Saccharomyces cerevisiae S288C: one gene and its partner. Changing the gene in region 2 together with the main gene of any one other region gives a genetic interaction. Each region holds a gene or a part of one and is shown on either strand. Other genes may lie near its edges.

Region 1 (9,340 bases), on a different chromosome or scaffold from region 2:
TATTCTGGGACCAATTTGTTAAGTACAACTGTAATTGGTTCAGTTGCGTTCCCACAATAAGCATGATTATGCTGAACATGCCCAAACCAAACCCTTTCCCACACATTAGATTCATCAGATCGTGTTCTTCTGCTTTGGCTCCAGCAACGTTCCATAAGCTGGAGAAGGAATTCAATGCACCTGTCTTGGAGGCCTATGCGATGACCGAAGCATCACATCAAATGACCTCAAACAATCTGCCTCCAGGAAAGAGAAAGCCTGGTACTGTGGGCCAGCCACAAGGAGTCACCGTCGTCATTCTAGATGACAATGACAATGTCTTGCCCCCGGGCAAAGTCGGCGAAGTTTCCATCAGAGGCGAAAACGTCACTTTGGGGTATGCTAATAATCCAAAAGCTAACAAGGAGAACTTCACCAAGAGAGAGAACTATTTCAGAACCGGTGACCAAGGTTATTTCGACCCTGAGGGGTTTTTGGTCCTTACAGGCAGAATCAAAGAGCTTATCAACAGGGGTGGTGAAAAGATTTCACCCATTGAGCTCGACGGCATTATGCTATCGCATCCAAAGATCGATGAAGCCGTTGCATTTGGTGTTCCCGACGATATGTACGGCCAAGTAGTTCAAGCCGCCATTGTTTTGAAGAAGGGAGAAAAAATGACCTACGAAGAACTGGTGAACTTCTTAAAGAAGCACCTAGCCTCTTTCAAAATTCCAACCAAGGTGTACTTTGTTGATAAGCTACCAAAAACCGCTACAGGTAAAATCCAGAGAAGAGTTATCGCAGAAACTTTTGCTAAGAGCAGCAGAAATAAGAGTAAGTTGTAGGCAGTATCCTGTACAATTTTATGCTCTCTGAAAGCTTCTATCTGGCACCCGTTTATATACGCCAATACTTATGTATTTTATCTATCTAATGAAACCACAGTATTTATCATGCCTAAGCTGATTCTTTTTCGTCGCGGCTGTTTCCGGGGTCTGTTTTCCGAGACTTCGAAGTGGGAGAACATGCAAAAGAGACGAGTCTTCAACTAAGAAGTTCTCCGTCATTAAAAGTCATGCGTTTGCACGTTTGCAATAAAAAGAGGTGTATCTACATATACAGGTTAACGATTGCAACAGCGACTCTTGATATTATCTCTGTCAAGTTTCTTCCTTTTGTTAGACTAATTTAGTATCATTTACACACTCGGACGTTAAATTCCGCCTCCCTCATAACAGTTCCTGTGTTTGTTCATTGATAATCGATCGCAGTTTAGTAAGTTCTTTTACTTTTGCAATAATTTTGTTCAACATGTTTTCCAGACTGCCAACATCATTGGCCAGAAATGTTGCACGTCGTGCCCCAACTTCTTTTGTAAGACCCTCTGCAGCAGCAGCAGCATTGAGATTCTCATCAACAAAGACGATGACCGTCAGAGAGGCCTTGAATAGTGCCATGGCGGAAGAATTGGACCGTGATGATGATGTCTTCCTTATTGGTGAAGAAGTTGCACAATATAACGGGGCTTATAAGGTGTCAAAGGGTTTATTGGACAGGTTCGGTGAACGTCGTGTGGTTGACACACCTATTACCGAATACGGGTTCACAGGTTTGGCCGTTGGTGCCGCTTTGAAGGGTTTGAAGCCAATTGTAGAGTTTATGTCGTTCAATTTCTCTATGCAAGCTATCGATCATGTTGTCAATTCCGCTGCAAAGACTCACTACATGTCTGGTGGTACTCAAAAATGTCAAATGGTCTTCAGAGGTCCTAATGGTGCTGCAGTGGGTGTTGGTGCTCAACATTCACAGGACTTTTCTCCTTGGTACGGTTCCATTCCAGGGTTAAAGGTCCTTGTCCCTTATTCTGCTGAAGATGCTAGGGGTTTGTTAAAGGCCGCCATCAGAGATCCAAACCCTGTTGTATTTTTAGAGAACGAATTGTTGTACGGTGAATCTTTTGAAATCTCAGAAGAAGCTTTATCCCCTGAGTTCACCTTGCCATACAAGGCTAAGATCGAAAGAGAAGGTACCGATATTTCCATTGTTACGTACACAAGAAACGTTCAGTTTTCTTTGGAAGCCGCTGAAATTCTACAAAAGAAATATGGTGTCTCTGCAGAAGTTATCAACTTGCGTTCTATTAGACCTTTAGATACTGAAGCTATCATCAAAACTGTCAAGAAGACAAACCACTTGATTACTGTTGAATCCACTTTCCCATCATTTGGTGTTGGTGCTGAAATTGTCGCCCAAGTTATGGAGTCTGAAGCCTTTGATTACTTGGATGCTCCAATCCAAAGAGTTACTGGTGCCGATGTTCCAACACCTTACGCTAAAGAATTAGAAGATTTCGCTTTCCCTGATACTCCAACCATCGTTAAAGCTGTCAAAGAAGTCTTGTCAATTGAATAAATAAACTTCAATCCAATAGGAAGGAGAGAAAGAAGGAGATAGGGAACTTTTTTCCCTGTACCCTACACTTTCTACCCTCTTCGCGGAAATAGTACTAATGAGAAAAACATAAATAATATTTTGCTAATCAAGACATGTATGGCGTACTGGTTATTAGTAGATATATAACTGCAAATACACACATACATACAATGTATATATTTTGTTTTTACAAAATTGAATGAGATAAGTACTGTGCACATTGAATGAGTTCCTGTTTCATGGTTAGAATACGCACATATTTATTTTCTTTTTTTTCTTTTCGACGACAGGCTGAATGAAAGAAAGAAAATAAAGATACTCTGGCATGCGAAAATAAGTGAAAAATAAATCGGCTATAATGCGTAAGCTACTGTGGGAAGCAGAAGCAAGACCTAAACGTTTGGTGAGGCAGTATAATATACCATAGTTATAGGGGGATAAAACAAAAGTAGGCATGGAACCTAAGCGAAAGAGCGGGTCACTAGCCAAGCATGATTTGCCGCAATTTTATCTTTTAATTATGTTATATTTGGCTCAAGGCATACCTGTAGGATTGGCCTTCGGTACCGTACCGTTTCTACTGAAATCTTTAGCAAAGGAGACCTCGTTTACATCACTGGGAATTTTCTCTATGGCTACATATCCATATTCTTTAAAGATCATATGGTCACCAATAGTAGACTCACTGTACAACAAGCGCATCGGTAGAAGAAGATCATGGATCATTCCAGTACAATTTGTTAGTGGATTTGTGCTATGGGCATTAGGGTGGTGCATATCACAAGGCATAATCTTCGATGGTGTCGACGATGCGTTCCATAATCGCGGTAATGGCACTTTACACAGTGTCAGTATAAAAAATTTGACGTGGTGGTTTGGCCTGTTAGTTTTTCTGTGTGCCACTCAAGACATCGCAGTTGATGGTTGGGCGTTGACGATTTTGTCCAAAGAATCCCTATCATATGCATCTACCGCGCAAACAATAGGTTTGAATATTGGTTATTTTATGTCATTTACCATTTTCCTGTCGTTGAATTCCTCTGATTTCGCCAATAAGTATTTCAGAAACATCCCACTGGATCACGGGTTCATTAGTCTTGGTGGGTACATGAAATTCTCGGGCATGCTTTACATTGTAATAACCATATATATCATCTTTTGCACCAAGGAAAAACCCTACGTAGAGTATTTGCCCAAAGTGGAGCCCATAAATACAAGTGACGGAGGGTCAAAGCCGATAAGTATTGAGTATGACGACGGTGATGTGGTGTCAACTCAGAATACAAGCAGTATAAAGTACATTTACCGCTGCTTTATAAAAGTGTTGAAATTGAAGTCCGTAAGAAGCCTAGCCTTCATTCACATGATTTCGAAATTTGCCTTTCAATGCAACGAAGCCGCCACAAACCTGAAACTACTAGAGCAAGGCTTCAAAAGAGAAGACTTGGCTGTGACAGTACTCATAGACCTGCCGTTCGAAATCATATTTGGGTACTATGTTGTTAAATGGAGCTCCGACAAGGACCCCATGATTCGTGACAATAGAAGATTAAGAAACAGCACGGGCACCAACAAGGTCATCAAGTTCTTAGTTGGGGATGCCGGCGTTTTAACACCATGGTTGTGGGGCTTTTTGGGCCGTCTGGCAGCCGCGGTCTTGGGAAGTTACGTGGTGAAGCAATTCCCCAAGGATGGTGAAATATCCACGGGTTATTTTTGTCTCGTGATATTCCAGCACCTCTTAGGTTCCTTCATGAATACTGTCCAGTTCATTGGAATATCGGCCTTCCATACAAGAGTTGCAGACCCCGTGCTGGGTGGCACATATATGACATTGTTAAATACCCTCAGCAACTTCGGTGGGACATGGCCGCGGTTAATCATTATGTCCATGATCAACTACTTCACCGTGTATCAGTGCACTATTCCTGGCACAAATAAAGTATACGTAACTCACGGCGGCAGCATGCAAGCGTGCACCGAGCTTTTGAATGGCACCGTGACCATCCTGCGTGACGGCTATTACATCACCAATCTCATATGTATTGTAGTCGGACTTTTCCTATATTTTGGATATTTGAAAAGGAAAATCCTCCATTTACAAAGTCTGCCAATCAGTTCCTGGAGATGTACGTAACGACCCCTCAAACAAGAATTGTACGACATTACGTTCAAGAAAATTTTAACGAGTATCGTAATATTTACAAGATCTTTTTATGTACTACAGGAAGCAGAAACAAAATGAGTATCAATACCAGTGTAAATCTGTTAATGAGAATCATCACATTATCCCAGTTTTTTCCATGCAAGGGAAAAATATACTATACGACATTTCTATACTTTAATTATCAATTAAGGTCATCTTTCTGTACGAAAACTAACCACGATTGTCACTAACGACGTGTCCCTTACCCGACGCAGCTGCTGATAGCGTACCGCACAGGCACAGCCAGCTCTTCTGTGATTGGCAGAGAGGGGTCCTTCCTGCGGAAGACGCCGCAAAGGCACATATGACTAACCTTTTTTTTTTCGCAATTAATTTTCTAATAGTTTTTCATTTTTTTTTTACAATTTTGGCAGTTACGTCTCGAGCTATTTATTATAAGAGTCAGAATTGGCGCAGGGAGTGTTAAGTAAGAAGTACTCCCCATCGGATATTTCCTATTGTGTTTCTGTGATTTTTAGTCCTTTTTTCTTTTCTCTTACTTTCGGTATCCTTACTTGATTACATACATAAACAAGCCCCTCTTTTCTTCCAAACTCTTGTAGCTTACTATCTGTGGCCCGTCATTTGAGTTTGATTTTTTTGCCAATTACTATATTGCAAAATAAAGGACAGTTACTAGGAGAGAAAATAAGGGACATAGAGAACAAAATAAAATATGAGCAGTAGCAAGAAATTGGCCGGTCTTAGGGACAATTTCAGTTTGCTCGGCGAAAAGAATAAGATCTTGGTCGCCAATAGAGGTGAAATTCCGATTAGAATTTTTAGATCTGCTCATGAGCTGTCTATGAGAACCATCGCCATATACTCCCATGAGGACCGTCTTTCAATGCACAGGTTGAAGGCGGACGAAGCGTATGTTATCGGGGAGGAGGGCCAGTATACACCTGTGGGTGCTTACTTGGCAATGGACGAGATCATCGAAATTGCAAAGAAGCATAAGGTGGATTTCATCCATCCAGGTTATGGGTTCTTGTCTGAAAATTCGGAATTTGCCGACAAAGTAGTGAAGGCCGGTATCACTTGGATCGGCCCTCCAGCTGAAGTTATTGACTCTGTGGGTGACAAAGTCTCTGCCAGACACTTGGCAGCAAGAGCTAACGTTCCTACCGTTCCCGGTACTCCAGGACCTATCGAAACTGTGCAAGAGGCACTTGACTTCGTTAATGAATACGGCTACCCGGTGATCATTAAGGCCGCCTTTGGTGGTGGTGGTAGAGGTATGAGAGTCGTTAGAGAAGGTGACGACGTGGCAGATGCCTTTCAACGTGCTACCTCCGAAGCCCGTACTGCCTTCGGTAATGGTACCTGCTTTGTGGAAAGATTCTTGGACAAGCCAAAGCATATTGAAGTTCAATTGTTGGCTGATAACCACGGAAACGTGGTTCATCTTTTCGAAAGAGACTGTTCTGTGCAAAGAAGACACCAAAAAGTTGTCGAAGTCGCTCCAGCAAAGACTTTGCCCCGTGAAGTTCGTGACGCTATTTTGACAGATGCTGTTAAATTAGCTAAGGTATGTGGTTACAGAAACGCAGGTACCGCCGAATTCTTGGTTGACAACCAAAACAGACACTATTTCATTGAAATTAATCCAAGAATTCAAGTGGAGCATACCATCACTGAAGAAATCACCGGTATTGACATTGTTTCTGCCCAAATCCAGATTGCCGCAGGTGCCACTTTGACTCAACTAGGTCTATTACAGGATAAAATCACCACCCGTGGGTTTTCCATCCAATGTCGTATTACCACTGAAGATCCCTCTAAGAATTTCCAACCGGATACCGGTCGCCTGGAGGTCTATCGTTCTGCCGGTGGTAATGGTGTGAGATTGGACGGTGGTAACGCTTATGCAGGTGCTACTATCTCGCCTCACTACGACTCAATGCTGGTCAAATGTTCATGCTCTGGTTCTACTTATGAAATCGTCCGTAGGAAGATGATTCGTGCCCTGATCGAATTCAGAATCAGAGGTGTTAAGACCAACATTCCCTTCCTATTGACTCTTTTGACCAATCCAGTTTTTATTGAGGGTACATACTGGACGACTTTTATTGACGACACCCCACAACTGTTCCAAATGGTATCGTCACAAAACAGAGCGCAAAAACTGTTACACTATTTGGCAGACTTGGCAGTTAACGGTTCTTCTATTAAGGGTCAAATTGGCTTGCCAAAACTAAAATCAAATCCAAGTGTCCCCCATTTGCACGATGCTCAGGGCAATGTCATCAACGTTACAAAGTCTGCACCACCATCCGGATGGAGACAAGTGCTACTGGAAAAGGGACCATCTGAATTTGCCAAGCAAGTCAGACAGTTCAATGGTACTCTACTGATGGACACCACCTGGAGAGACGCTCATCAATCTCTACTTGCAACAAGAGTCAGAACCCACGATTTGGCTACAATCGCTCCAACAACCGCACATGCCCTTGCAGGTGCTTTCGCTTTAGAATGTTGGGGTGGTGCTACATTCGACGTTGCAATGAGATTCTTGCATGAGGATCCATGGGAACGTCTGAGAAAATTAAGATCTCTGGTGCCTAATATTCCATTCCAAATGTTATTACGTGGTGCCAACGGTGTGGCTTACTCTTCATTACCTGACAATGCTATTGACCATTTTGTCAAGCAAGCCAAGGATAATGGTGTTGATATATTTAGAGTTTTTGATGCCTTGAATGATTTAGAACAATTAAAAGTTGGTGTGAATGCTGTCAAGAAGGCCGGTGGTGTTGTCGAAGCTACTGTTTGTTACTCTGGTGACATGCTTCAGCCAGGTAAGAAATACAACTTAGACTACTACCTAGAAGTTGTTGAAAAAATAGTTCAAATGGGTACACATATCTTGGGTATTAAGGATATGGCAGGTACTATGAAACCGGCCGCTGCCAAATTATTAATTGGCTCCCTAAGAACCAGATATCCGGATTTACCAATTCATGTTCACAGTCATGACTCCGCAGGTACTGCTGTTGCGTCTATGACTGCATGTGCCCTAGCAGGTGCTGATGTTGTCGATGTAGCTATCAATTCAATGTCGGGCTTAACTTCCCAACCATCAATTAATGCACTGTTGGCTTCATTAGAAGGTAACATTGATACTGGGATTAACGTTGAGCATGTTCGTGAATTAGATGCATACTGGGCCGAAATGAGACTGTTGTATTCTTGTTTCGAGGCCGACTTGAAGGGACCAGATCCAGAAGTTTACCAACATGAAATCCCAGGTGGTCAATTGACTAACTTGTTATTCCAAGCTCAACAACTGGGTCTTGGTGAACAATGGGCTGAAACTAAAAGAGCTTACAGAGAAGCCAATTACCTACTGGGAGATATTGTTAAAGTTACCCCAACTTCTAAGGTTGTCGGTGATTTAGCTCAATTCATGGTTTCTAACAAACTGACTTCCGACGATATTAGACGTTTAGCTAATTCTTTGGACTTTCCTGACTCTGTTATGGACTTTTTTGAAGGTTTAATTGGTCAACCATACGGTGGGTTCCCAGAACCATTAAGATCTGATGTATTGAGAAACAAGAGAAGAAAGTTGACGTGCCGTCCAGGTTTAGAATTAGAACCATTTGATCTCGAAAAAATTAGAGAAGACTTGCAGAACAGATTCGGTGATATTGATGAATGCGATGTTGCTTCTTACAATATGTATCCAAGGGTCTATGAAGATTTCCAAAAGATCAGAGAAACATACGGTGATTTATCAGTTCTACCAACCAAAAATTTCCTAGCACCAGCAGAACCTGATGAAGAAATCGAAGTCACCATCGAACAAGGTAAGACTTTGATTATCAAATTGCAAGCTGTTGGTGACTTAAATAAGAAAACTGGGCAAAGAGAAGTGTATTTTGAATTGAACGGTGAATTAAGAAAGATCAGAGTTGCAGACAAGTCACAAAACATACAATCTGTTGCTAAACCAAAGGCTGATGTCCACGATACTCACCAAATCGGTGCACCAATGGCTGGTGTTATCATAGAAGTTAAAGTACATAAAGGGTCTTTGGTGAAAAAGGGCGAATCGATTGCTGTTTTGAGTGCCATGAAAATGGAAATGGTTGTCTCTTCACCAGCAGATGGTCAAGTTAAAGACGTTTTCATTAAGGATGGTGAAAGTGTTGACGCATCAGATTTGTTGGTTGTCCTAGAAGAAGAAACCCTACCCCCATCCCAAAAAAAGTAATTTTTACTCGTTAATTATATTTTATGACATCTGAAAATACTAGCTGTACTATATATGGCGTATATTTTATCTAGTTATGTTCCCATGTATATTTAAATGCCAAATAGAAAGTAATCAAACACTTTCGATGAAATACGTGCTAACTGTGTTTCTTCCTTAATGCTTTCACTTACCATGTCTCCATTCTCCATTTTCTTCTTGAGTGAAAATGTGAGTTTATAACGCTCAAGTACGTTAACTACTCTATTTAATATCGTACGGGATTTTTGATCGACTGTAGGTTTTCTTCTTAGACCATTCCAGCGCCCGGGTATTTAACCAAACGCTACGGATGCACAATAACTTACAATAAGCTCATCATTAGTCTTGAATTGCATCCAAAGTTCACCAATATTTTGCTGCGGACTTGGCGCAAACGAATTATTTATATAACAATAAACATGGTCCATTTTCAGCCGTCTCTTAAGAAATAAAATAACCATTGCAAAAGACTGTGACAT
Region 2 (7,318 bases):
TATTACGGCACAGGATTTGAGTTAGGTTTTACAGATGTTAAGCAAACCGTTGACGGTAAAGCAGTTCCCAGTACGATGGAAGAGCTTACTTCAGAGGCCTCAAATGAGGATGTTATATTGGATGCTCGACTGCCCAAGAATGTTAAGCCTAATTTAGTTAAAACGGTAGAATTACCTTACTTTGTAAATCATTTTGACATTGAAGTGGAATTTCACGATCGTGGAAACGATAATTACCGAGTTGTTGGTGTCATTGTAAACCCTGTATCTATCGAAAGATCGTCACCTGGCGCGTGTTCTACAACGGGAAAACCTCTGATACTAGACGAGGATAAGGATAACGAGGTTTACTTCACTTATTCTGTTAAATTTGTTGCCTCTGATACAGTGTGGGCTACGAGATGGGATAAGTATCTACATATTTATGACCCGCAGATACAATGGTTTTCATTAATAAATTTTTCCGTTATTGTTATTTTGTTGTCATCTGTTGTAATGCATTCTCTATTACGGGCTTTGAAAAGCGATCTCGCTCGTTATAACGAACTAAACTTGGATAATGAATTCCATGAAGATTCTGGCTGGAAATTGGGCCATGGTGACGTATTTAGAACCCCATCTAAGTCGATGCTGCTATCCATTCTTGTGGGATCCGGTATGCAGTTATTTTTGATGGTCATGTGTAGCATTTTTTTTGCCGCAGTAGGTCTTGTGTCGCCTGTTTCCAGAGGATCCCTGCCAACTGTAATGTTTGTTCTTTATGCATTATTTGGATTTGTAGGATCCTACGCCTCAATGGGTGTCTACAAATTTTTTCGTGGACCCTATTGGAAGGCGAATATGATATTAACGCCAATATTACTTCCTGGAGCAATTTTTTTACTGATTGTAATAATGAACTTCTTTTTGTTATTTGCACATTCTTCAGGTGTCATCCCAGCGAGAAGCCTATTCTTTATCATTCTTCTATGGTTTTTAGTTTCTGTTCCGTTGTCGTTTGCGGGTTCAATTGTTGCTCATAAGCAGTGTAATTGGGATGAGCATCCAACTAAAACAAACCAAATCGCCAGACAGATTCCATATCAACCCTGGTACTTGAGAACAGCACAAGCAACCTTAATCGCTGGAATTTTCAGTTTCGGATCAATAGCGGTTGAGCTGTACTTCATTTACTCCAGTTTATGGTTCAACAAAATTTTTTATATGTTTGGATTTTTACTCTTTTCATTCTTATTGTTGACCTTGACAACCTCATTAGTTACCATCTTGATCACATATTACTCGTTATGTCTAGAAAACTGGCTATGGCAATGGAGAAGTTTTATTATTGGTGGTTTAGGATGTTCAATCTATACGTTCATCCACTCCATACTATTTACTAAGTTCAAGCTTGGTGGAGTTATTACTGTCGTGCTCTATCTCGGATATTCACTTATTATATCTGCATTATGTTGTGTCGTCACTGGAGCGATTGGTTTTTTTAGTAGTATGTTTTTTATTAGGAAGATATACTCTGCCATTAAAGTTGAGTGATTTCGTTATTCTCTCCACTAAAGTAAAAGAAGTGAATACGTTAGTTTTATTTTTTTTTTTTTTTTTAATTTTTTGAGAAGTGTTTTACTTCGCAATGCATTTATATCCTATATGTCCTGGCAAACTTTTTGATAAATTGGAATGCAAGTTTTAACGCGTTTTTATGTAGCACTAATACACTGTATTGAAGATTTTTTTTTCTTTCACAATTTGGAAACGATTATATTGGATATATATTAGAAGTTTTCCTCGAGGATATAAGAAATCCGCAAAAGGGAATCAACAATTCTATATAACAACATTATTCTCTCTCCGTTTATATTTTATATTAAATTCATTATCTTATTAAATTATCAATTCTTGCACTTCAGCTTCCATTAAATCCGATAATTGTTATGAAGTCTTCTAACAACTCATTCGACATTAATAATAAAGAATATTATTCGATATATTTATTTATTTTTATTCCGGCAATAATAAATCTGAAAACGAGTTACTCTTTCAAATGACATGATAGTTATCAAATCCAAATTCTTTAGGAGAGTGTGTAATTAGGTGAAATATTAATGGTTAACTTTCTGTTGTATTACGGGCTCGAGTAATACCGGAGTGTCTTGACAATCCTAATATAAACAGTCTTAGGGAAGTAACCAGTTGTCAAAACAGTTTATCAGATTAATTCACGGAATGTTACTTATCTTATATATTATATAAAATATGAATCATACTAAGTGGTGGAAGCGCGGAATCTCGGATCTAAACTAATTGTTCAAGCATTTATACGTTTGGGTAGTTCAGCTAGGGAAGGCCGTGTTTTATCTCATGTTGTTCGTTTTGTTATAAGGTTGTTTCATATGTGTTTTATGAACGTTTAGGATGACGTATTGTCATACTGACATATCTCATTTTGAGATACAACACTTTCGATCCAAATTGGTCTCTTGGCCCAGTTGGTTAAGGCACCGTGCTAATAACGCGGGGATCAGCGGTTCGATCCCGCTAGAGACCATTTTTATTTTTTCTCCTCTATTGTTAAAAATAGCTCTTTACTATCATAAACTTTTACATCAAAAGCTCAATAAGGCTAATTGTTGTGGAAAGACGCAGTTTGGTGAAGAGAACACTTCCTGTTTTTGTTTTCTACATATACATAAAGCCTATTGTAAGCGCTTCACTCCAGTTCTGAAGTAATAATCAAACCAATCAGGAGCAATATGAGGATTGTTATAAAACTCATCTCTTTCTATTCCTACAATGTTGCTCCCCTTATAGTGCAGAAGTATTTTCGCGCATGCAGAACCAGCCTGCCAGTAATTTTTAGGAAACTGGATTTTGGACGTATCCATTTTTAACTTGAATAAATTCCTTATTACTGTTTCATACGCCTCTTCAATGTTTACTATAATGATATTTTCTCTCAGTGGCCTTCTCAAGTCGATAGGAAGTGACTCTACAATATTTTTGACAAGATTTATTACCGGGGTTTCATCTACTTCACAATTTTTAGAGTTGTATTCTTCGTCAAAAAATATTGGCATGTAGAGACTGCCCGGGAGAGGAATTCTTGACTCAACCTGTCTTTTGCCTCGTTTTGAGTATTTTATGAACTGTTGCAAAGGTCTAAGGTCGAAAATAGGTACGCATGTAGTATAATTGGTACCTATATCTATAACTATGGCATTCCTTGTATTACAGGATAAGCAGTGCACAATGGCCCTGGGGACAAACGAAACGTGAGCGCAGTCAAATTCCTTAAACAAGATGCTACAAATAATTCTTTTCTCTACTACAGAAATGAAGATATCTTCTAGTATCAACACTTGTACTTCTCGATTTCCCAAGATGTTGCAAATTTGGAAGTAATGTTCAAATATTTTTTTCAATTCTTCCCTATTTTTTTCATTAATACTACCTGTTTTCCAGGCGATAATTTCTTGTGGACACGCATCAGCACTTCTTCCAATTTCGATTCTGTTAGCTCCCAAATAGACTATCACAATAGTATTCGACATTTCCTCATAGGGTTTCCTGGGTAGATTTTTTTTATCATTTCACAGTGTCGAATATTGTAGTATTTGTACCTCTTTTGTTTATGTCTCTCGGCTACAATAGAAGTTCCGACAATTAGATTCTAACAAAAAAGAGAACTGTTTTTGAGGTCTTTATGCCCCCAAAACGAAGTTTATAATCAAACAACAGATTTACTTCATATCAAAATACCCATCACAAAGTACAACAATCTACCATGGGTGCCGTAATTTCTTTGCCAGTTAGCATGGCGGGCTCATTCGTGGCGTCCTGTTTTGGAGGTTGCTGCTCAAACTTGGTGACTAAGACTGCATCTTCCCTAGGATCTTCTTCTTTAGGGACAAGACTTCTGTACGCCGTTTGGCTTTTACTTAACTCATTGATATCATGGGTGTCCTATTCTGCGAACAAATCAATCCTATGGCCAGGGAAGACATGTACTGGGACTGGGGAATGTGGATTTTTTACAGTTCATAGGTTGAATTTTGCATTGGGATGCTTACATTTGATATTGGCGCTTGTACTAACGGGCGTAAAGTCGACTAATGACGTAAGAGCAGCATTACAGAATTCGTGGTGGAGTTTAAAATTTATACTGTATTTATGTCTCATTGTTTTGTCATTTGTCATCCCCAATGACTTTTATATTTTCTTTTCCAAGTGGGTGTCAGTCCCTAGTGGAGCAATTTTCATCCTGGTTGGGCTTATATTATTAGTAGACTTCGCTCATGAGTGGGCTGAAACGTGTATTAGTCACGTTGAGTCAGAAGATGAAGATTCCTCATTCTGGCAACGATTTTTGGTTTTAGGGACAACTTCAATGTATACCGCATCGATTATCATGACTGTTGTTATGTATGTTATGTTTTGTCATCAACAATGTAACATGAATCAAACAGCGGTAACAGTCAATTTAATATTAACTGTTATAACGCTTGTCTTATCGGTGAATCCTAAGATCCAAGAGGCCAACCCTAAAAGTGGGCTGGCCCAAAGTAGTATGGTTTCTGTTTACTGTACTTATTTGACAATGAGTGCCATGTCTTCCGAACCGGATGACAAAATGTGTAATCCGTTGGTTAGATCTAGTGGAACCCGTAAGTTTAGTATCATTTTGGGCTCTTTATTTACTTTTATTGCGATTGCTTACACCACAACTAGAGCCGCTGCTAATAGTGCTTTTCAAGGCACCAATACTAATGGTGCTATATATCTCGGGAATGATATCGAGTACGAAGGACTAGGTGGACAGACAAGAAATCAGTTGAGGTATGAAGCTATTAAACAAGCTGTAGAAGAAGGATCTTTACCGGAAAGTGCCTTATATGATACCGCTTGGTTAGGGACATCATCTCCTACAGGCGCAATGGATAACCAAAATGATGATGAAAGGACTGGAACCAAGTACAATTACACTCTGTTCCACGTTATATTCTTTCTGGCAACCCAGTGGATTGCAATTTTACTAACAATAAACGTTACCCAGGATGATGTAGGTGATTTTATACCCGTAGGAAGAACATATTTTTATTCTTGGGTAAAAATAGTTAGTGCATGGATATGTTATGCCCTTTACGGTTGGACAGTGGTAGCCCCAGCGATTATGCCCGATAGATTTGATTACGAGAATTACTATTAAATAGACTAACACAAAAAGATTTTCTTATAATGTATGTAACTTTTTTTTAAGTAGCCCCCAGTAGAAACACTAATTTTACTATACTCATGCACTAGTTTCAAGAAGATGAGTAAACCTCCCTCAAAAAAAAATGGATCTTAATTATCTAATTGAGATATCGCTTCTCGAGGATTATTTTAACTATCCTCTATTTATTTGAAATGCCAATTACAGTTATTATCGATCGACCGTTTTCGAAGGATCTCTTTTCTTCTTTTAAAGGTAGAAAACATTCTCTCAACCTTCTTTATGCGATATTCGGAGTTTGCGCCGTGCTTCAAAGATATGGTAAAACAAAATCATTGTGGCTAAAGAAATGTCTGGTGAAAATATCAATAACAAAAGTCAGCATACAGTGATTGTAAAAGAAAGGGATTTGTCTTCGAAACATTTCGAAATATGGATTCTATCGTTAATGTTGTTGAAGACGATGTTAAGTACGCGCAGAGAGTGACTAGCTTCAGCTCACCACAAAATGCAAATGTCAAGGTCTTCACCATTCCCCGGCATTCCTTCACAGCGTTTAGACTGTCGTATGTTTCACCTACAGAGCTTTCAGCATGTTCACAGGTGACTTTGCTAGGTGGTATTCCAAAACAATGGTACGCTGATCAAAATAATCAAGTCTGGAAACTTCTAACTAAAATTTCACTTCGGAAGGTTAGGAAGCAATCTGACATGCTAAGAAGATATGGCTATGGAACAATTTACAAAAAGCGTGTAGGGAAGATCCCAACTGCATTGTACTTAAGAAAGCACTTTACATGGTCCTATGAAGATAATACATCAATTCACAACGGTCATCGTCTTAAAGAAGCGGAAATGGAGATGAAGAGAACTAGGTCAAGTCCTGTGCAGAAAAGTGAATATAAATTAAGTCTACCCAGAAGGTGTAGGAGTTCTTCCGATCAAAACTTCATGCGACAAGAGCTTTTGAAAGAAAAAAAATCAGAGCTTTCTAGAAACAATAGTTTGCCTCTCATCGATACGGCGCAAGCCGTGGATATCCACCCAGTTTTACATGAAGAAGATCAAGAAAATACAAATAAAAGGAATAAATCACTCCTTTCGAATTTGAAACGAAAAGATCTAGGGGAATCAAAAAGCATATCCAGAAAAGATTATTCGCATTTTGATAGAATACCGAGCCCCTCTTCAGCCAGAAGTGTTGGAGAAACAGACTTTAATTATAATAGAGAACCTTCTGAAGATACTTTGAGATATCCCGACAGTATAATTGAAGTAACAAATCGGACAAGCCCCGCCCCAAATAGTATTCTAAGTAGATCAGGACAATTTGTTAACTCGAATGACCTAAGTGATGGCTTTTCAACATCTAATACTATCAATAACGTGGGATTAAATGCAAATGAAAAGATTTTTTTTAATGCTCTACAAAGTATGGAAAAGGAAAACTTGATGCTGTGGAAAACATCCCAGAAATATGGGACTTATCTCGATGAAAGACGTAAAAGTGCGGATGCCTTTCAAAAAAGAGAAAGAGGTTCATGCGTGGACATTGGTAAGTTGCATTCGAGTCATCTTCCGTTTATTAATATCCTACCTCCATGGCCTACCGAACTGACGGAGGAAGAGAGAATTATACACGATAGGCTAGCCTCTAAACATTCTCATCATATAAGAAAACATGTTCACAATGCTCGAAACAAAACTAGCTGCAAAATCAAAGATAGTGTTGGAACTTTCTTAGGTATGACAAATTCACTAACAAATAAAGCAACTGTCAAGAAACGCACCGGTCAGATCCTTAAAAAAGAAAAAATGCTAGTGATGGTAAAAGAAGCTATACAAAATAAAGTACCACTTCCCAACTTCTCTGAAAACGAGTGCTTTGATACAAGGGTCAGTGAACGGTGGAAAGAATATATTGTTATTGCAAGATCCACGGGAAGATTCGATCCCCCGATACTTTTACAGTTCTATCGTCATCGTCATATCCCAGAAATCGAAGATATCAGTTCCATAGCTACAAAGTATCACCGCAACCCGTTGGATTTTTTTCTTTCAAGAAATTGTATTGTAAAATTCTACAGCTCTCTAGACAAAACTATATCCATA

What was found. Genes that interact genetically often act in the same process or in processes that back each other up.
Region 1: mutations in TMS1 (region 2) and PYC2 together harm fitness more than expected from each alone (negative genetic interaction), as found in Saccharomyces cerevisiae (2 studies listed by BioGRID).

What each region holds. Positions count from the first base shown.
Region 1 is NC_001134.8:658,207-667,546, reverse strand, and holds PYC2 (pyruvate carboxylase 2), read left to right. Parts: upstream 1-5,297; coding exon 5,298-8,840; downstream 8,841-9,340. Other genes in the region: PCS60 (Pcs60p), read left to right, coding at 1-827; YBR221W-A (uncharacterized protein), read right to left, coding at 905-1,009; PDB1 (pyruvate dehydrogenase (acetyl-transferring) subunit E1 beta), read left to right, coding at 1,294-2,394; YBR220C (uncharacterized protein), read left to right, coding at 2,870-4,552; YBR219C (uncharacterized protein), read left to right, coding at 4,244-4,544, 4,966-5,048; ATG12 (Atg12p), read right to left, coding at 9,155-9,340. UniProt on the Saccharomyces cerevisiae protein: Pyruvate carboxylase catalyzes a 2-step reaction, involving the ATP-dependent carboxylation of the covalently attached biotin in the first step and the transfer of the carboxyl group to pyruvate in the second.
Region 2 is NC_001136.10:663,231-670,548, reverse strand, and holds TMS1 (Tms1p), read left to right. Parts: upstream 1-3,778; coding exon 3,779-5,200; downstream 5,201-7,318. Other genes in the region: TMN2 (Tmn2p), read left to right, coding at 1-1,533; ARP10 (Arp10p), read right to left, coding at 2,691-3,545; SPO71 (Spo71p), read left to right, coding at 5,639-7,318.